Regions from separate parts of the Mus musculus genome. Here all the other regions are reported to be linked to region 3. The links are microRNA targets in miRTarBase. Many come from high-throughput screens and were not tested one by one. Region 3 holds a microRNA gene; each other region holds the end of a gene's coding sequence.

Region 1 (5,163 bases), not on the chromosome of region 3:
ACGAGTGTGTGTGGGGCACAGTAAAGAAACTGCTGACGTGACCTCTCCATTAAAGACGATTAGAAAGCATCTGGGAAGAAATGAAAGCAGATGGGACATGGCCAGAGTTAGGAAGCAGGAGAGAAGGCACGGGGGTGGGGTGGGGGTGGTGGTAGTGGGGTGGTGGGGAAGGTGGAGAGGAGAGGGGAAGGGAGAGAGAGTGCACACCAGAGAGCAGAGACTAGAAAATACTGAGAGCACACGTCGGGAGGGTTCTAAGTACGAAGAGTAGCTGTGGCGAGGGACAACCTTTGAGGGTGGAACACTCATTTCACAAGTCCCAGAGGTTTTCATTTCTCCACCAGAAGTCATCTGGAGGGCCTGAGACCTAACAATGGGGAGTTGCTGGTGTGGTGACAGGTCTGAATAGCTCCAGTACTGAAAGCAACTGACTGGGACCAAAATGGCTGAGGGACCAAAGAGTGTTGGGGACCTTTGGGCACAGACCATTTGTGTGTCTGAATTTGAACATTTTACATTTTTAAAACAAAAGTGTGCTTGGGTATGGGTGTATGTGTGTGTTTGTGTGTCTGCTATCCCAGTGGTTGGGACAGAGCAAGAGGATCAAGCCCCAAGCTGTGCCTCACGGCAAGAACTGTCTCAAAACCTAAGAAACCCTCCTGTGCACACCAATCTAGCTTCCAGGAGTGTCTCCTAGGGGCCCGCCTGAGGTCATAGGACAAAGCTACGCAGACACTGGCAAGCGGCTGGACCATCAGCGCGCAGCTCACCTCAGGAATGCAATGGGTCTGCTACAGAACATTCACGGTATGAATGACACGTGACAGTGAAGGAATGAAACCCATGGTGACCAACATGAGAAGTGCCACCCACATCTCATTAATGAAAGAAGTCACTCAACAGCTTGGCACCATAGAGGCAGAATGCTGTGGAGTTTGGCACTACCCTGGTCTACATAGTGAGTTCCCAGACAGCCAGGCTATATAGTGTGATCCTATCTCAAGAAAACAAAACAACAAAAACTTTACTATGAAACTTTTGTGTATCAGGTGAAAGTTCCTCATAATTTTATCAAAATATAATGTTTCCTCAGCAAGTGGGAAAAGAACCCTTTGGAAGGGCAAAGAGCTAGGTTTTGTGTACTTAGCTAGAACACAGACCTGTTTTTAAGTCCTCACGCCCCAAAATAAGACGGGGGTGGGGGAATGAGAAAGGGAGAAGGCTTTGGAACTGACAGAGGTGAACTGGTCAGTAAAACTGCAAGGCAGCCAGTCTCTGTCTCCTGGAATCAACACAGAACGTGGGAGTCATTTGATATCTAGGCATCCGATGGTGGTCTAGCTCATGCATGTTTGGCTTTAAAAAACTCTTTTGATACAAGTATGTTTTGTCTGCATGTATGTATGTGCATCGTGTGTGTGTGTGTGTGTGGTGCCTGTAGAGATCAAAAGAGGGCCATATATCCCTTGGAACTTCAGTAATAGATGTCGAGCACTATGTGGATGCTGAGAACTTAACCAGGGTCCTCTGCAAGACATAAACACTCTTAACTACTGCGCCCTATCTACTCCCTTCTGTCTTTTGTATTTATTTACTGAGGCAGGGGCATTCTGTGTAGCCTAGCCTCAAACTTGAAGCAGTCCTCCCACCTCAGCTTTCTTTCTTTCTTTTTTTGTTTGTTTAAGGACAGCATTTTATTGCTACCAGAGGCTTTATCAGCAGTACATGGTCTGACTGCAGTGCCTTCAGTCTGCAAAGGGAGCTCAGGGTCCAGACGCTGCTCAGAGAGAAACAAGGGAATAACTCCTTATCAAGAAAATCCTAATGGCATAATATGAAACTAGGGTACTGAATTAAATTATAAGTTACAGACTCAAATCAGGGCTGCCCCAGTATCTAGACAGTTGCTTCTACTGATTATAAATGAGCAAGAACAGATCAGTTACAAAAAATTACGTGTATATTACATCCATGTTTCTTTGGTGAACACCTGGATATATTAACCTTATCAGAAATTCTTTTATATAAATGTCAAAAATGCTTAAAATGTCCTAATTATGTGCCATTTTATTAAGCTTCAAGATAAACAAAAAAAGGACAATAATAATTTTAAACTAAAAACTGAAATGAGACACACAAAAAAAGAGAACTTTTCCTACTGCCACTGATTCATGGGAATAGCTTCAAAGTGCCCTTTTCAAACTAACATACTTGAACTGTGGATTAAACATGGCTGCCACACAAAGATAATTTACTTACTGAATTAGTTTAAAAGAAAACCACCTCAGCTTTCTAAATGCTAGGATTGTAAGCATGTGTTACCATACCCAGCTCCATCTTTGAAGCCTCACCAGTCAAAACAATTGAGTGGTAAGAAAGGTATGACCCTGAATTCAGCATCAGGGAACCCCTTGTCATGGGCTCATGCAACCTGAGCCATTTCCTGAATGGATGGCAGCCCTACCCAAATCTCAGCTCTCCTGTTCCAAAATGCACAACCGGTGTAGAGAGAGTATGACACCGTGACCAGAGGTCACTCGCCTCAGCTAGAAGGACTACCATCTATTCCAGAAGTCAGGCTACCTTGGTTACTGGTACTCAAACTCGCAAAGGCAGCAAGGCTGGAGCACTATTGTTGTGGAGATTCTCTTGGTCTGGAGATTCTAGAGGACCTGTGGGAATGGAAGACTCTTCCTGCAACAGAATGTGTATAAACAGCTACACTGACACCACCCATGGCTGCTGATTCTTTATTGCACAAGAAACTGGCAATACCGAGGCAGGGCAAGCATCACAAAACAATCTGTCAACCAACTTGGTGCTAGCTAGCACGGGCCTCTCTGTACACACTTCTGCTACACACTCACGCATGTGCGAACGCGTGCACACACACACACACACCTGTGAGCCTGATGCTTCCATCCTTGCTGGCATCTGGTCCCACACCCAGCCATGAAGCAGCCTTTGTGATGTATGTCGGGAGTCCTGAGGTGACTGCATGGGAGAGGAAGGGGTGTGCGACAGTGAGCAGAGCCACTCAGATCAGCATGTGCAGTGTGCCAGGGTCACAGGCTGTACCAGGGAAGGACAAAGGTAGGATGGAACTGTCCTCAGAAGGCCCCATGACTAGTTTGAGAGCATGCCTGGGGTGTCCCAGAGCTAGTGTATCTTGGGAAGCCTGGATGAGGAGTGTGTCGCTATAACCACTCTGGTACCCAAGAGGGGCTGGGCACCTACTCGGGACACTGTCAGGAGCTCCCCAAATGAAGCCAGGCTAATGAGGCAGCTCAGGCCCTTCTGCTGGCTCTTAGTGTCTTCTTCCACAGTCAAATAAAGCCTCATGCTCACATAGCACAAACACTCGGCCAGGCAAGATGCTCTCTCCATTTTAAGCCACCATAAGCTGCAGAGGCCCTAACTAGGGGAGTCTAGCAAAGGAGTCTCGTCAGCATCTGAGCACAGCGGGGATGCACTGGACCATAGAGGCAGGCCTCTGAGCTGGCGCAAGTGTTAAGCAGGCTCCTGAGAGGAGCAGCTGCTTGGGAAGCTACTGAATCAAGAGGGCTGAGCCCTCCACCACCCAGGGCACCAGGTCCTTGACAGAAGGTGAGAAGAGCATGCCTACAACACAACAAGCAACAGCCCTATGCATGGATGTGGATGTGTCTTTAGGTTTCTGTCAAAGGGCAAAGCCTGAGCTCTGCTGTCTCCTTCCCACTGACACCCAGGTGGTGGCTTCTTTAACCCTTTGCTTGCTAGGAAGAGACGAGCTGGTGGCATTGGGTGCCTGCTGCTCAGTCCCCTTGGCTGCAGCCTGCCAGGAAGTAAAGCAAAGCCGGTTTTGATGCTCAGTTGTTCCCTTAGGTCTGTTCCATGGACTTCAGGGAAGGTCTACAAAAGTGAAGTCTCTTCCACTGGCAGAGCCTTGGCTTTCTGGGTTTAGTCAGCCAGCCATTCCACGAGGCCTAGCTCCTCATGGAACATATGAGGCCCAGCTTCAGTGGCAGCCCTCTAAGGCAGGGCATGTTCCCTCACACTCTCACACACACCCAGACTCAGTCCTAGTGGAAGGGGCAGTTTTGCAGAGAAGGGCAGCCCTCTGGCTTTGCAACAGGTAATAGAGTCAAAGGTGACAGTGCTTTATTCCAGACTGCCATCATCAGAGAGAAGAAAGGGTCCCCAAGGCCTCTGGGGTCAGACTCTTCAGTCACCGAAATGATCAAGGCACAGTCTCGTGCAGGGCCACTATCCAAAGGGGCCTCTTGAGGGCTGTGCAACCGGTGGCATCTCCGGCAGGAAGGACTCAGGACTACATGTGCTAGAGGGTGTGAGACAGCAGCCTCAGCTACTCCTGTCCGAACCCCTCAGTCTCCTCGATGGCGTACAGCAGCTTCTCTTTCAGCTGCTCGTAGCTCTTATAGGGAGGCAGGTCCAGACGGTTGAAGCTGTGACAGAGAGAGAGGAGTAGCCCCGGGAGGAGGCCAGGGCTCTGGTGCCCTGCCCCCACCAGCCTACAGCTCCAGCCTGCCAGCTCCCGGCAAACTCACCACGTATGGCTCCTGGGCAGCCAGGTTTCCTTGCCAACTCTGTCGATGCAGAACTTCTGCGGGCCATTGCTCCCTGTCATTCAAGGCAACGTGTACTTTGTGTCAACACAGATGGTCTTTCCCAAAGTAACCAAGTGCCACAGCTCTTTCCCTCCCAGCTCCAGCTGCACTTGCCCCATGCTGTCCCTCCCCCAGGGAGGGCCCCAGAAGGGCAGAAGGAAACGCACCGATGAGCTCAGCAAATCCCCCAACAGGCAGACGGCAGGTTCCCGTGACAAACTGCAGTAGCCGGATCCTCTTCTCATTGTCCATCTCCTTGACAACCTGGAGGTCCACAAGACAGACAGACGTCCCCAGTCAGACTTCAGACCCTAGCACGGACCTTTCCAGGCCAACTCGACACACACAGACACCAATCTGGGACCTTCAAAGATGCTTTCTCTAAGGATATTTGTAGAACATTCATAAGGGTCCCATGGGATACCTGGGTCTGTCATCCCTCCACTCCCTGTCCCCACTTCTGTTTTTAAAGATACTTAACTAAGGCTGGGACACCCACCAAAGGGCTTTTTACTTGGGGAGATAAACTGTCCTGGAGGTGGCCAATGCTGCTGGT
Region 2 (5,163 bases), not on the chromosome of region 3:
GGATTGAACCCAGGGCTTTATGCATGCTGGGCAAGCTCTCTACCAACATCCTCAAACCTTATATATTCCTAGAACGTTTAACACCCGAGTAGACACAGTGTCACTGTTAGGTGCTCAATATTAGTTTGTATTATATTTTTCTAAAACTGCAGAATCTATGTGACCTGACTTAAAGTAAATACACACATATAAATAAAAACTCAACATATATACCTATGCCACTTTCATTATATACCTGAATGAGCCATAAAAATAATTGTCAAATACAGAACATTACAATGACCTGGTCTGTTCTTTTCAAAACTGAAGTTGTGTGTGTGCATGACAGGGGCAGGTGTGGCATTCACATGCCATGGTGCATGTGGGGAAACCGAAGAATAACTTTTGAGAGTTGGTCCTCTCCTTCCATCATGGATCCTGGGGACAGACCTAAGGGCAGCAAGCCTGTGTACCATGCCATATTGCTAGCCCTGTGGGAGGTTTGTAACATTCCATCCAACCCTCATGGTAACCTTGGAGATGCTCTGTTCCACCTCTGAATGTGAGGACAGATGAGGTCGAATGATCAGAGATCTAGTAACTACCAGAAATGGGATGCTGATTATCTGCAAAGCCAGTTAGCTCTTATTTTCTGCCATGTTTTAAAGGTGGGTGTTTTCTTGAATTATACCGCAGTGCAGCAGCATCATATATGTGACCCTTTGAAAATATTAATTCCAAGAACTGTATCAGCCCATTATTTTTGTTGAGCAATGTCACCACTGTGAACAGCAGCAGTGGCTCTGGTATTCTCAGAGCTGCCACAGCCCGCAGAGTCTGCACCTGTGCCTTGCTCTCTGTCATGTAATACTCCAGTCTGCACTGTTGCATGTCCCATCTTTCTTACTGTGTGCTTGCTGAGGTCCAATGAACCAAAAGGAGTTCCTTCAACAGTGTGGAAGACAGTGCCTCTTTATGCTCAGGGTCCACTTTAAGATAGAGTGTGACTTAGCCTTTGAGCAGTGTCGCTGTGATAGTTTGTACATGCTTGGCCCACAAAGTGGCACCATTAGGAGGTGTGGCCTTGTTGGAGTAAGTGTCACTGTGGGCATGGGCTTTAAGGCCCTTGTCTTAGTTGCCTGGAAGCAAGTCTTCTCCTAGCAACCTTAGTTGAAGATGTAGACTCTCAGCTCCTCCTGCACCATGACTGTCTAGTCGCTGCCATGCTCCCACCTTGATGATAATGGACTGAACCTCTCTGAGCCTGCAAGCCAGCCCATTATAACGTTATCCTTATAAGAGTTGCCTTGGTCATGGTGTCTTTTCACAGCAGTGAAACCCTAACTAAGACAGTGGCTCTGTGAATAAAGAGGACAGATGCTGTGGCTATGAGAACCTCATTCTCTACAGAGAAAGACTCCATGTTTATTTAAGATTTATTTCCTATAGCCTGGGTTATTGAGATTATTAGAGATGTATGCCTTTCTAGCCTCTATAAAAGCAGAAGAGTAAATACTATAAAAAACAAAACAAGACAAGGCATTTCCCCTCAAACCTTGTTTTAGTTTGCTAGCATTTCATCAGAGGCAGCGTACACTCAGCCTTTGGGAACGAGTTCAATCCTGCCATCCCGCGACTTCATCTAAGGCACCACCTAAGCTGTCTGAGCTGAAGCTCTCAGGGCCATCTGAGTCAAAGGTGACAGAGGCTACTTCTCTCAGCCTGAGAGAAGAATGGTGCGAGTGCTTTGGTGAACACTTGGTATATGGGATTTGAAGGTGAACTCATTATTACAAGGCTTCTAGTTGTAATTCCAAGTTTTATGACTGAAGAAACGAGCTTTCATGTTCATACACACAATGCAAACAGAAGAGTGGCCTCCCTGACAGCTCGGGGTGCCATCTGCAGTGCCTCAGCTTTGGCTGAGCTCGGAAGTGCTGGTTTCTAAGTCACAATGCAGGGGATGTAAGAAACCCAAAACTTGACTATTTAAAATATCTGACACAAATACTATATAGTTATAATGAAACAGTATTATCTAGTGGAAGAAACAGGCGCAATAACATGAAAAAACACATTTTATTGCACTTAAGTTATAAGAAAATAAAATTTCTAAGTGAATCAAACCATAGACACAATCCCTTTACAGGTTGTTTCCTCCATCACGTCAGGTTGTTACATAACTAAAATTAACCAACTTGAATCTGATTGTTTTAAATCAGACTATAAATAAAACAAACAAAAAATAAACAGGAGGAGGAAAAAAAAGACGGCCTAGGATACAGTGTTAACCACTTTCACAGTTCAGCTTGAGTTACGGCTCCTGGTGAATGAGGCGGACCATCTGACTCCCGCTCTCTTGCTCGTCGAGCTGGTAGGCGAGTGACAGACAGCGTCACTGCAGAGCGAATTCCTCTCACGTCAGTCACTCAGAGCAATGAAACTGTAACAGTTGTTTTCCCCAATACTGTAAGATGCTACGACTGACCAGCAACCTCCTTTTCCTTTGTGTTTTATATATCTTTAAAATATCTTGTCAGTTTTGCTATGTATGTTCTTCCATTCACCACAGCCCTCAAAAAGAAGTTTCTCCACAGAACAGGCACCTCAGGCTCTGTCCCAAGGAATGTGTTTTAATTTTTGCCCAGATAAAAGAAAATAAGCTTTGCACACACTCTCAATTCTTTATTTGCAGGCAAACTTCACTCTTTATTATCTGAAACTTTTCCATTCTCAGCCTCTTAGAGGCACAGATGGCTCAAGTTTCAGTGGCAAAAAAGTCTTTTTTTTCTGTAACCAAACTAGAGCAAATTTGGAATTCAGTCTGGGACTAAAACGTCACAGCAGAAAAAAAATAAAAAAAAAATAATTTGCTTTTTCTTTCTTTCATTTAGCAGCATAAATAAGTTTGGCCACTGGGAGTACAGTACAGGGGTGGGACAACGACCCCGGATTTGAAGACCTACTTCTAGCACCAGCATCAAGAATTATATCCATCTCAGGACTCACACAACCCAGGACAACTTGCCACCTTTGAGCAACATATGCATTGAAGAGTAGAAGCAACAGTAAAGAGATAGATTAACAGAGGCTAATACTGTGATTGATTGACATTGGCAATGGTTGGCAAAAAAAAAAAAGAAAAAAGAAAAGAAGAGAAACAGGAAAAAGAGAAAAAAGAAAGCTTCATGATAACTGTACAAAAACAATTCACAGTAATTGTTTTAAGCTTTTCCACTTCAGAAAAATGACGGTTTGTTGCAGATGCTCTGATTAGAAGATAAGCAGCCCGTGTTTGGATATTACTGCCACTCCTTTCTAGGTGACGGTAACAACGCTGATGTAGCTCTGCTCAATGACCACTGGAGAAGAAAACAAAGAATAATTGCACCTGGTTGGATTTAGAGAGTCGTCTTGCCAAGCTGCCCCTCAGTCACAAGTGAGGCCTTTGCGAGATGCGACAGCTGCCGCCTCCTGTCAGTTACGGTCTCTTGTCTCTTCTTGCCTTCTTAGTCTGTAGGTCTTTTCAGTCTGTTGTCCCAAGCCAACATCCTGCACCACTGAGTACAAGGGATTTTTTTCCTTTTCTTTTTTCTCTTTTTTTTTTTCTGTTTTTTTTTTTCATTTTTTTGTTTGTTTGTTTTTGTTTTTTGCGCAGGGGGAAGGGTAGGGAGTATATTGTCTACACAGTTGGACAAAATTCATCATGTCTGCTTTTCATTTCATGTCCACATCAAAGTCCAGCACCAGGAGCTTGGTTTCCTCAGTTCCATTCCGACTCCCGACTGCACACACCAGCTTTGTGTTTGAGGCCCTGATCCGCCACACAACTCCCCCGCTCCCCCCACTCTCCAATGTGACGAGGTTTCGGATAAATTCACCCGTTTTCAAGTCCCAGAGTTTGACCGTTCCGTCGTCTGAGCTGGTAATTACGAAGTTCTTGTTGAACTGTAAGCAGGTCACAGCGCTCTGATGCTTGCTGGGACCTAGGCAAAGGCAAATGCGGGTTACTGCTTAGGAAGGACGTTCAGGGCTTCTGCGTGGGACTTGTGCTCTTCTACATTATGGCATACAAGAAATGCAGTATTTAAAAAGCTGCACAGTTAGCAACCTTGCTGTAGTTTAGGACCAGCTTAGATGTAAGGAAATCTGGTGGCTATGTAACTACAGTACCAAGTCTCAAGAGCTCCGGCTCCCAGTGGCCCTGGTCAGCCAGTGTACACATTCCACTGCTGGAAAAGGGAACGTGCAGGTTTGTCACTCTGTCACTCTGCCACACTGAACTGATCAGTCAAAGAAGGAAATAGAATTTGTGACTACCCCAAACTCCTAGGAACAGTCACAATTAATGAACAAAGGCTGCTATGTGCTGCCTCCTGATGGCTTCACTCCAAACAAACAAACAAACAAACAACAACAACACCTTCTAAGGGCTGTGACTAAGAGAAGGAAGTTACTCATGGAGAAGCCAATGGTGCTATACCTAATGCTAATGCTTCTCACTCTACCTTCCCCTCAGAGAGCACCATTACTCCTTCCATTCCGACTGAAGGAATTGACCAAGCAAGGCCAAAGTCATTTCCTATCAGAGATGCTTCAATTCAAAATAAAATGATCACTCAAAAAGAACGCTGCCCTATGAGACAGCCATGTTAAACAGAGTCAACAGAACACACAGGAAATGATTAAGAATTTTCACATTAAAGACACAATTGAAAACCATTTCTCAAGGTGGCTTACTTTTGAAAGCCAAACATTCACAAACTCATCAGGAGTAAGTACTCTGCATAAGGTTAAACCTCTGTTCTCCACAGGTTCTCTCTTGAATAGCAATGATGTTTTTAAAGATAGGCTAACAGAGGGCCAGGACTTACCTTGCAAAGTTTGTAAACACTGTCCTGTTTTGATATCCCAGATCTTAACTGTAGAATCTGCATTCCCAGAGACAAGAATATTGTCTTTGAGTTCCATTCCACTCGTTAATGACTGGTGTCCTGTTAGCGTGTGAATACAATTCCCTGTCTCCACATCCCAGACTCGGATTGATGTATCAAGAGATCCACTCACCACATGGATGCCATCAAACTACAACAGACACAGAGTATTAGAACAGAAACACGGATTCCTGTCCTATCAGCTGTTGACATTACTCACAATAGGGAGAGGGTACAAGCAACACGTAGG
Region 3 (5,163 bases):
TGTGAGATAATTGAGAGTCCGCTCTTTCTGAAGTTGAACCCTATGACCAAGCACACAGATGTGAGTGTTGTTGACCCAATGTCCCCTTTTTCTTGATCATCTGCCACTATGCCTTTGCTCTAATTTACCGACATTATGTGTATTAGAGAAAGCTTGAGTTGAATCTCTACCCTGCTGTTTACACCCATCAGTTGTGTGACTTCATCTCTTCAGTGGTGTTTCCATATGTAATGTGTGTAAAACCTAGAGAAAGCATGAGCCAAGTGTGGTGACAACACTTGTAACCAATCTTAGCACTCAGGAGATTGAGGCAGGATTGTGAGTTCAAAGCCAGCCTGGCATGTGTGTAAGTTCAAGTGCATTTGCTTTTAGTAAGAGCTGTTCTCTTGTCTCCGTCTGTGTTTTTACAGCTTCCTGTCAGCGTTTTTGAGTCTGTCATCGATATAATCAATGGAGAGGTAATATATAACCTGCAACCTTCAAACCTTTTAGCCTGTTTCCTGCATGCCGTGTGCAGGCATAGGACAACCCTGGGTGTCCATCCTAGCTTTCTACCTTGGGACAGACTCACTTGTTTGCCAGGCAGGTTGGCCTGTGAGCTTCTGGGAATTGTGTCTCCACTTCCCATCTTGCTGTAGGGGTTCCAGGATTACAGTCACATGCTGTCACATCTCACTTAATGTGGGTTCCGAGGCTCTAAATTGAGATCCTCAGTTGTGCAGCAAGTACTCTACCTGCTGAGCCATCTGCCTAGGCCTAGGTCTGTTTCCTGACTCTCCCTATCTGAGAACTCTTTACTCTGCAGGCCACAATGCTGTTTGCTGAGCTCACTTACACTCTGGCCACTGAGGAAGCTGAACGGATCGGTGTAGACCACGTGGCCCGGATGACAGCAACAGGCAGTGGGGAGAACTCCACTGGTAAGGGAGGGGAATTCAGTCTTTGGAGGTAGGGGTTGGGTGTGGCCACAGGCCGCCCTTCATTTGCCCCATTCCCCTGCAGTGGCTGAACACCTGATAGCTCAGCATAGTGCCATCAAGATGCTGCACAGCCGTGTGAAGCTCATTTTAGAATATGTCAAGGCCTCTGAAGCAGGTAGGAGAGGTGCCTGTCACTTTGAAACATTTTTCCTCTCCTGGAAAAGTGACAGCATCCACATCAGTGCAGCCTCCTTGTGTCCTTAGGAGAGGTTCCCTTCAACCATGAGATCCTGCGGGAGGCCTATGCCCTATGTCACTGTCTTCCAGTTCTCAGCACTGACAAGTTCAAGACAGACTTTTATGATGTGAGTGTTGACACCTTTGATGGGGAGGTGGGGCTCACACCACCTCACAGGTAGGAGGTGAAACTCAAGTGTCACTGGCTAATACGAGGGACCCCTGGGGAACTGGTTCTTTGTGTTCCCTCCCAGCAATGCAATGACGTGGGGCTCATGGCCTACCTCGGCACCATCACCAAAACGTGCAACACAATGAACCAGTTTGTGAACAAGTTCAACGTCCTCTACGACCGACAAGGCATTGGCCGGCGAATGCGGGGACTGTTTTTCTGATGATGGTTCTGGAAGGGATGGTGTGTGGGGCTCAGACAGCTGTTCCATGGACCTGAGTACCACATTCCCTTTAGAGAAACTCATTAATAAAAGAGCAGCCCCTTAGCAGCCCTTCCAGTGGCTTTGTCCTCTCAGGCACCACACTGGTTTCTCAACATGGACTCTTAAGGAAGCTTCACCCATTAATCCACATTTTTTGACCACCTACCCACCTTTTAATGACTCGAGGTGACCCCTTGTTGAAGTAGACAAAATGTGATAGGACGACCTGCTTGCTTCCAGTTTTTGTGCTCTGTGATCAATTCATGTCACAGCTCCACAGAAAGATTGCTTTCCCAGGCTAATTTAATTTCACTGCAAATGTTTCTCAAATAGGAAGGGGAGGGAAGCTGAATTCCATCTTTGTAATTGTGGTTATCTCAAGTCCTTGTTTTTCTATATCCTGAAGGTACCTAGGAGGGTGATATGTACCTCATCCTTAGGCCTTCCACTTAAGTCATACCTTGTGCTAGGCGCAACTTTCTGCCCTTCACATCCTGGTGTCATCACGTCTAGATGTGGGGGTCTAACAAACGAAATGTCCATAATTGGAAGCATCTCAAGAAACAGTGGTCCCAAGGCCTTCTATCTCCCAGATTGACTAGCACATAGTAAGGGTCAGTACTAGAGACTAGGGGAGGAGAGAGCATACTAAAAACTCTACAGAGTTATTAACAAGCAAGAGGCAATCAAAACACTTTATTGGCAGAATAAAAAAGTGCAGCATGGGAGAATGAGATTTTTTCTTGAGGGGGCATTCAGCATGCCCTCTGGTGTAGGCAGGAGGGTGTAAAAACTGGCTATCAGACAAAGGTGATCCGTGTCCGAGAAGTATTAACCTGCCAGACATTTAGCTCCTCATATTCATCCAGAGCTGCCTGGAACTGGGCTGGTGTGAAGCCACGAGATATGCAGCGCTGTTCAGCCTCAGAAAAGTGGACACTCCGCCCCCGTGACACCAATTCACGGATGGTGGCAAATATCACATCTGCTGGCCTCTGGGTCCTAAAAGACAAGGATGGAAAAGGTGAAGGTGCAAGGCCACAAACAGTAGCAGCAATCAGCATCAAAACCCTGAGGGCAAGCCAGGTCAATAAGCCCAGTGGTCCAGTCTCACTCTTCATTAAAATCCTCACCTAGCTGTCTGTCCCTTTTCACCTAGAAGGGAGTCCTTCGACATCTCCATCAACCTTATGGCTTCATTTACATCTTCCTTCTCCACAATGTCTACCATCCGAAGTCGAGCCTAAGGGGAAGGCATAGAAAAGATTGGGATAGGAGGGGAGGAGGGGAATGAAGTCAAGGATCTTTCTTTGCTCCAGCTTCAAGCCTGGGCAAGCCACATTTGCCTACTCATTGAACAAAAATGGGGACTCCTCCCTGCCCCCCCACATCTGCAGTGTTGGGCCGGCACTGTCAGACCGAGACAAGTGCAATGCCCAGGGCAGCGTCCAGCAATTGCCCAAGTCTCCGCCTCTCAACACTGGCCAGTCCCGGTGGGTGTTCAGCTGTCCTGTGAGGGAGACCAGACCCTTCTGAACTCCACTAGGCTCCCCATCAAACAAATGGAGCCTGGGGCGCTCAGCTAGGGCCACTATCAGAGGTTGTGTCCTGGGGGCTCGGGAAGTGCTAGCTCAGCAGTAGGTCAGGTAATTACACTACCTGCACGAACAGCACTTTGGAGCCCCCATGACTAAGGTCCAAGAGGGGAGGACAGAATGGAGATTTCTAAGATCATATCTAGGACACCAGGAATTCAAGTCCTAGCCCTCATGGATTCAAGCAGCAAGCAGCCTTTCCCTCCATGGGCGTTGCACGTGCCCTGCTGGAGCAGCAAGTACCCACAGTGCGGTAGCACAGAGAGGACCACTATCTGCACTGTCAGCACTTTAGTCCCAGCAGGGCTGGTAGGAGGGAAGGAGGCGGCTTGAGGGTCATTAGGTGAGGTGGCAGGCAGGGGTCAGCTTTCCAGCTGACAGGGACCCACCACTCACCAGAGCAGTGGAAAGTCGGAGAATGGCCAGCAGGGTCCGGGCAGAAGTATAGGTGGCATCCTTACTGGCCCGGGCCTCTCGCCTCATCTCCACATATGCTGCGGTGATGTAGTCAGCCAGAGATTCAGGCACTGTGGGCTGTCTCTCGTGGCACATGGCTATGTACCGTCTGTGGGAAACAAGGTTCATGGGAAAGCGGGAAAGCAGGCAGGCTTTATGAGATTCCCCACTTAATATTCTATGCTGACGTGGACAGTGAGGGATTTCTCCAAAACAGGGCTGCCAGGACACTTCAAGTAACTTCCAACTTTTCAGGAGAATGACATTTACCAAAGCACCTGTAGTGGGAGGATTTAACTTAACCCCTTGACAGACTTCAGAGACCATGTGAAAACCAGTTTAGAAACCCGAGTCATCTGTGCCATGGAAGCACTTATGGCCAAAAAGCTAGACCTGCCTCGGACAGGATTTAGAGAGTGAGAGAGGTTCCTTTATATACAGGAGGGAAGTAGTTTTTGGAGACATCCCCAAAATGACTCAGGTTTCAGAGTAGCTAGGATTATATAAGGCCTGCTGCTCTGTCATCCCAAAACAGAAAAAAAGTTTCTGATGATCCCTTGGCTACAGAGAGACCCAGGCTCAGCTACTTTTGAGGCTGAAATAGATAAGCAGATGAGTCCTTTCAAGACTCAATGCTTTCCAGACACACTTGGCATAAGACAATGCCACAGACCAGTACTCTCCCCAGACATACCCATCTCCACCCCTCCTACCTCATAAGTTTCATGTCCAAAGGTTCAAATTGGGCAGGGGGCTGCCGGCTGTGCTGGTGGACATAGGTGATGTGCTGGGCCAACCTGGAGAGAAGACGGGCGTCAGTCTTTAGAGCTCTAACACCCTGAGAATCTTGACTCAGTATCCCCTTTTAGCACCACCTCTTCTCCAAAGCATGGCAGACAGGCCTCCCAGAAAACCCTCAAGATCTTAGCTCCAACCTATCTCCATATGAACTGCAAACAAGGAAAGGTGTTTAAGGTGTCTGCACACAGACAAGTTGAGTGGCTTTCTGATTTTACCTCCCTGCCCCAAAGTCACTAAAATGGGCTGTCTCTATGGGTGTCATCTACTTCATTCACCGGAGGTCATTGTCTCTGTCGGGCCGGTCTTGAATCAGCCAGAGGAGGTCGAATCGAGAAAGCAGAGCAGCCGGAAGCTGGACGTTCTGCTCCAGACTGCGGCGGGGATTATATCGGCCGTAGGCAGGATTGGCCGCAGCCAGGATGGAGCATCGGGCATTGAGCGTGGTGAGAATCCCCGCCTTGGCGATGGAGATGGTCTGCTGCTCCATAACCTCATGGATGGCTGTGCGGTCAGCCTCGGCCATCTTGTCAAACTCATCAATGCAGCACACGCCCTGGTCAGCCAGCACCAGGGCACCGCCCTCTAAAGTCAGTTCTCCACTCACAGAGTCTCTCAACACAGCTGCTGTGAGCCCTACACCAGAGGAGCCACGGCCTGTTGTGTACTGACCTGCAAAGATAAAGAGCAAACTGCTGAAGAAAGGAACCGCTTTCCCCA
Region 4 (5,163 bases), not on the chromosome of region 3:
ATATCAAACTAGCACTTCAGAATTCAAATTTTGGGACATCTTGAACTTTTGGAGTGGATATGCTCAACTATTCCTAGCTTTGAAATTGGGCGACTTACTAAACCACCCTGTGTCTAAACAATAGCAGAACTATGAGCAACACCTCCATCTGAACCCCAGGGGGTCACACACTGGATTCCTGGGGGGGTTCACAGATCCCATACTGGACCCCTGGGGCTCATACACTAGATCCCAGGGGCTCACATACTAGATCCCTGGGGGCTCACACACTGGATCCCAGGGGTTCACACACTAGATCCCAGGGAGCTCACACACTAGATCCCAGGGGCTCACACACTGGTCTCCTGGGGGCTCACACACTAGACCCCTGGGGGCTCACACACTGGATCCCAAGGGCTCACACACTGGATCCCAGAGGCTCACACACTGGTCTCCTGGGCAGTTTGGTTTATATTTGTATCACTGAGCCAGTATAGTAATTTTCAGGGTTTTGGGGTTCTTTTTGTTTTTTATTTTGAGACAGGGTTTCTCTGTGTAGCCCTGGTTGCCCCGAGACTCCCTCTGTAGACCAGGCTGGCCTTGAACTCACAAATCTACCTATTTCCGAGTCTCAAGCAAAGGTATGCGCCTCTGCCACCACAACTCACCAGGCTTGGTTTGTCTAATTGCCAACCTGAAGTGAAAATTTTACATAAATCCCAATCCAGTTTCCCCTCCCACATGGTGCCTGATCTTGTCTAAGGGCCCATGCTCTCCTGGCTCTTCAACTTCCCTTGTGAGCTGGCACTCCTGATCCCGTGCTCTTGGGAAGTCTTCCTGATAGGATCGTGTTTATCTGGATAGATGAGCATGTGCCCAACGGAAGCTCCTGTGCTGCTGCCAGCTGGAAAGCACCCCTCCCATTACCTGAGGAGCTCAGACCCTCAGAGGGACAGGCACACACCCTCCCGCAGGCAGTGGGTGTCCTGACTGGGGGTGAGCACTGTCACTTGGCCATCTCTTTCTTCTGCTAGATCCTCCCCTCTGGCTCTTCTTTATCCATCCTGCTCTTTCCCCATCACGGGAGTCCTGCCTGTACCTCTCGCCCCTTAACAGGCGGTTCCCCAGGATTGGCCCTGGGCCATGAGCAGTTCAGGAAGGCGTGTGGCAGGTGGAAGGGGTGCTTACCTCAGGGAGCTGTCCAGAGCAGGACATGCTGTTCTGATTGGAATCGTTGGCATCCCGCTGAATACCATCTGCTCTCGCTTCCCCAGGCCCTGGAAGAGGATTTGAACCAGAAGAAGCGGGAACAGGAAATGTTCTTCAAATTAAGCGAGGAGGCAGAGCCCAGACCCACCACACCCAGCAAAGCCAGCAACTTCTTCCCCTACAGCTCTGGGGATGCTTCCTAACACCCACAAGCCTGGGCTGCGGTGGGCAGCGTGGCTACTGGGGCCCCCAAGCCTCTATGAACAAGTGACTCAGGACCTCTTCCTCTTGCTTCTGTGCCAGCTCAATTACCCATCCCCCTGCAGCGCCCCAGTTGTCCACAGTGCCACCTTGGTGCACGGTGACCTCCTCAAGACTCAGATTCCCATCACCTAGGAGTGATTTAGACTGTTGAGGTCAGGGGCCAGGCAGGATGGGTGAACCCCTCCTGTTTGCCCAAACACCAGCTCTACTGTCTGTGGGCACAAGCGCTACTAATGACATCACCGCGAACGCATCCTTATTGTGATCCTTGTGGGTTTTTTGTTTGTTTGTCTGTTTGTTTGTTTGCCTTCAGTAATTCCTCACAGTGTCGGGAAACATCCCTAAGAGCCACTTGGGTTCTCAGCAGCCAGCTCCCGGGTGTCCCCATTCCCTTGTTTCACATAGCTGACTTTGCTTTGTGTATGTCGGGGTAGGGAGCGTGGAGAAGGATGCCAGAGATGCCTGTTCTGCTGATTCTGACATTGTATCCCATCTTATTTTCCTCTCCCTGTGAGACATGCAATACACACACACACACACACACACACACACACACACACACACACACACACACACACTGCAAATACATAACTTGGCCCCCCTGACACCACCCAGGCTGCCTCTGCTGTGACCTCCTAGGACCAATGCATTGGAACCTGCTTGCTTGCCTCCTGAGCCTGATCCAGGGCCACTGAGCATGTCAGGTGGAGCAGCTGGTGGGGCCATGCTGAGTGCTGGCGCCAGAACCCAGAGAAGGCACAGGCTGTACTGCCAGCCTGCAACTCATTTGGCTGCACACAGGATCCCGTGTTCAGGGGTACACCCCCCTCCACACTTGACTTCTGCTGCCTAGCACGTGCCAATCTCACCCTTGCCCGCTTGTCTGCAGGTACCCAGGAAGGCTTTTGACTTCTGCCCTAGTCCTGTACTGGAGTCCCACTGTACATTTCCACTAAGCTTTGGACTTCTCTGTTCAGGAAGAACTGTTCCCCACCCTCAGGAACATGCTGCGCTCAGGGAAATGTGGAGCCTCCATGACTGGGCCTTCGGGCTGCTCAGGTAGCCTCCCAAGAGGCTGAGCCCCATAGAAGAAAAGCAGCCTAAGTGCTCAGTTACAGTACAGGCAAATGGCTGGCTGCCTCAGACACCCTCTTTTTAAAAAGCCCCTTCCCAGGGACAATGGGGTGGGGTGGGGGAGGGGGGACCCAGGCGGTTGAGTCTGGCGAGTGGCTGAGACCTTAGCAGTATTTCTCTGTCACTGCCCGATGCTGAAGCAACTTTCTAAAAAGTTTCCTCAAATGAAAACTGGGTGCTTGGGAGGGAGTGGGCTAGAAAAAAAATAGGAAAACAGGTCTTGGGACTCCCAGATCTAGTGTGCAGTAAAGAAGCTCACAGAACCCCAGGAAGGCCATAGTTCTCAGGGGAGCGAGTGAGCCTTCGCTTGCTTTCAGGCCTCACATCAAGGAGTTGACTCAGAGGGCAGATGGGCCAGGCCACGCCACAGGAGGCCGGGCAGGGATACTTGCTTTCAGGGGACTTGACAGTGGCTATTAGGCAAAATGCTAGTTTTGTGGTTCATATAACAGTCTTTGACCGCTCCCTGACATCATTCGTAATGTTCCAGTCCTTTGTTGAATCTGCACTTAGTACCACCTGAGCCCTGGTAGCTCTGCTGTGCCTTTTGGAGTGGGGTCTAGCCTAGTCTTCCAGCCTCATAATTATAGCGTAAGTGCAATGCCTGCCACCACCAAGGGCCCACGCAGTATTCCTCATGCCCTGTGCTAATCTTTTCTGTATAGGAACAGGCAGAAGTGTTTTTAGCGCAGTAAATATAACTAACTTATATTTCCCTTCATGAAGGATGGAAATAACGTGTATGCATTTCCAAGCACCGTGGATATTTGTAAACTGTTCTCTGCAAACAAAAAAAGAATGTAAATATGCTTCTAATAAAGTAATAAGGTGATTTGCAAGCACTGTTGTTCTTTCTGGTTGGAAAGAGAAGATAGGTGGGCCTCCTGTGCTTGCTCAGCAAGGAAGGGCTTATCCTCTGAGTATGTGAGAGCCTCCTCCATCAGGCAGCAGGTCAGACTCTGGGGTTTCTGATGGAACCCCAAAGAGAGAGGAAAGAGACCATATTCTCTCTGGCCATTTAATATCATTCCGATTCAAAGACAAACATTGGTTAACAAACACCCCCAGATTTTGTATGTTAATGGACTGAATTTTTTCCATAACTCTGATAAGAAAGTAGATTTTGCGCAGAGCCCAAATCTCAGGACACGGCCGAGGGACACCCATGGAATTCAACCCTGGAGTTTGTCCCCCTGATGGTGCTACCACACCTCTCTCCAGCTGCCACTTCTTGCCATCAATGCTGTATCTTAAAAGAATTTTCCAGGACAGACTTAACATGGTGGTTGAATGCCCTAGCTTGTACATGGGTCTGGGCTCTGTCTCTGATTCTAGGGGGACAAATAGAAATATAGTTTACATTTGTCTGACTGTACCTCTCAAAACATTGCTTGTGTTCTTACCCTGGGGTCCACGGGTAGAATTGGGGGTATCTCTGCATTTGTTTGTCAAAAGATGTGGTCTTTAGTTTTCCTGCCTGAAATTGAGTGTTTTCCTTCTTAGTGGAGGTGGCAACAACCCCAGAGGTATCAGTGGGGCTTGTAACTGTCACCCAGGGAAACCAACGGCGTTCCACACTACACCATTTTTTCCTCATTTTTAAATCATAGTGACTCAACCTGCATTGTTAGGTCCAGTTGGTTGTGTCCATGCATATGTCTTATTAACTGTGTAGCTACAGTTTTCCGAAGTCATTGGTAGCCGGGCAGTGGTGGCACATGCCTTTAATCCCAGCACTTGGGAGGCAGAGGCAGGCAGATTTCTGAGTTCAAGGCCAGCCTGGTCTACAGAGTGAGTTCTAAGACAGCCAGGACTACACAAAGAGGCCCTGTCTCAGAAAAACAAAAAACAAAAACGAAAAAAAGAAAAAACCAAAAATAAAAAAACAATTAAAAAAAATTTTTTTTTAAAGATACCTATTTATCCTGATGGTCAGTTTCATTTGTAATCAACATAATAACCTCATTGTCACAGGTTTCAAAAATATTACTTTGAGAAGGACTTCATAGACATTGTGGAATACCAAAGGACTTCACAGAACAGAAAACAAAACCAGTCTGCTTTTGCTTAGCACCTTGCTGCTGTTGCCCTGGAAGTCTCGTGACCAGCAGAGGGCAGGCCATGGCCATGGTGCTGCACAGCCTCTGGACTCAGGCTGTTGGTGTGGCTGCAGCTTCCACTGATGAGTACTTACTGTCTGGGGGATGTAAATCAGCAGGCAGCCAGCATGATTGCCATTAAGAGCTAGAAAAGTGAGTTTCCAAGAATTCAGGAGACTGGCAGCCTCCCACCCCCAGGGCATTAGGAGATGAGGATGACTTGGGAAATGAAATCATCCTATGTTAATTGACTCCTCTCAAAGCAACCATCATTGGAATGAGTGATTCCTGGATGCTGTCTTCAGCATGCTCACCCTAATGGAGACAGAGACGTGGGAAAGCAGCACCTGTGCAGACTGACACCGCCTGGGGACTCAGAACACCCCCTAAGAGAGCCACCCTGTGTCGGAGGGCAAACAGGTCTATTCCAGAATGACATGCACTAAGGCTGGCCAGAGTAGATGGCTTATCAGCATAA

The links. Region 3 holds the annotated microRNA mmu-miR-25-3p (CAUUGCACUUGUCUCGGUCUGA, at 3,008-3,029, opposite strand). A microRNA usually pairs through its seed, bases 2 to 8, with sites in the 3' UTR of a target mRNA and lowers its output. Matches are read on the target gene's strand: a 7mer-m8 pairs with bases 2 to 8, a 7mer-A1 pairs with bases 2 to 7 and ends in A, and an 8mer does both.
Region 1: miRTarBase lists Wwp2 as a target of mmu-miR-25-3p. Seed matches in the 3' UTR shown: 8mer at 2,752-2,759.
Region 2: the mRNA of Fbxw7 is a reported target of mmu-miR-25-3p. Seed matches in the 3' UTR shown: 7mer-m8 at 3,364-3,370 and 8mer at 2,060-2,067.
Region 4: miRTarBase lists Stk10 as a target of mmu-miR-25-3p. Seed matches in the 3' UTR shown: 7mer-A1 at 1,971-1,977 and 7mer-m8 at 3,182-3,188.

The regions. Positions count from the first base shown.
Region 1 is chr8:107,556,169-107,561,331 of GRCm38, reverse strand. It overlaps Wwp2 (WW domain containing E3 ubiquitin protein ligase 2), which reads right to left. Exons shown (of 24, transcript NM_025830.4): 22 at 4,775-4,871; 23 at 4,548-4,620; 24 at 2,042-4,445. The coding sequence ends at 4,346. Among named protein-coding and RNA genes, the nearest start is that of Mir140, 7.5 kb to the right of the region's middle.
Region 2 is chr3:84,976,075-84,981,237 of GRCm38, reverse strand. Fbxw7 (F-box and WD-40 domain protein 7) reads right to left here. Exons shown (of 14, transcript NM_001177773.1): 13 at 4,854-5,064; 14 at 2,040-3,965. The coding sequence ends at 3,697. Among named protein-coding and RNA genes, the nearest start is that of Gm30944, 44 kb to the left of the region's middle.
Region 3 is chr5:138,162,325-138,167,487 of GRCm38, forward strand. Mir25 (microRNA 25) reads right to left here and starts at 3,080; the gene lies at 2,997-3,080. Cops6 (COP9 signalosome subunit 6) reads left to right here. Exons shown (of 10, transcript NM_012002.3): 5 at 1-60; 6 at 411-458; 7 at 806-920; 8 at 1,003-1,095; 9 at 1,185-1,285; 10 at 1,412-1,660. The coding sequence ends at 1,552. Mcm7 (minichromosome maintenance complex component 7) reads right to left here. Exons shown (of 15, transcript NM_008568.3): 11 at 4,722-5,115; 12 at 4,359-4,442; 13 at 3,586-3,754; 14 at 2,728-2,837; 15 at 2,259-2,596. The coding sequence ends at 2,395. It overlaps Mir93 (microRNA 93), which reads right to left and starts at 3,286; the gene lies at 3,199-3,286. It also overlaps Mir106b.
Region 4 is chr11:32,621,171-32,626,333 of GRCm38, forward strand. Stk10 (serine/threonine kinase 10) reads left to right here. Exons shown (of 19, transcript NM_009288.2): 19 at 1,254-3,425. The coding sequence ends at 1,391. Among named protein-coding and RNA genes, the nearest start is that of Fbxw11, 19 kb to the right of the region's middle.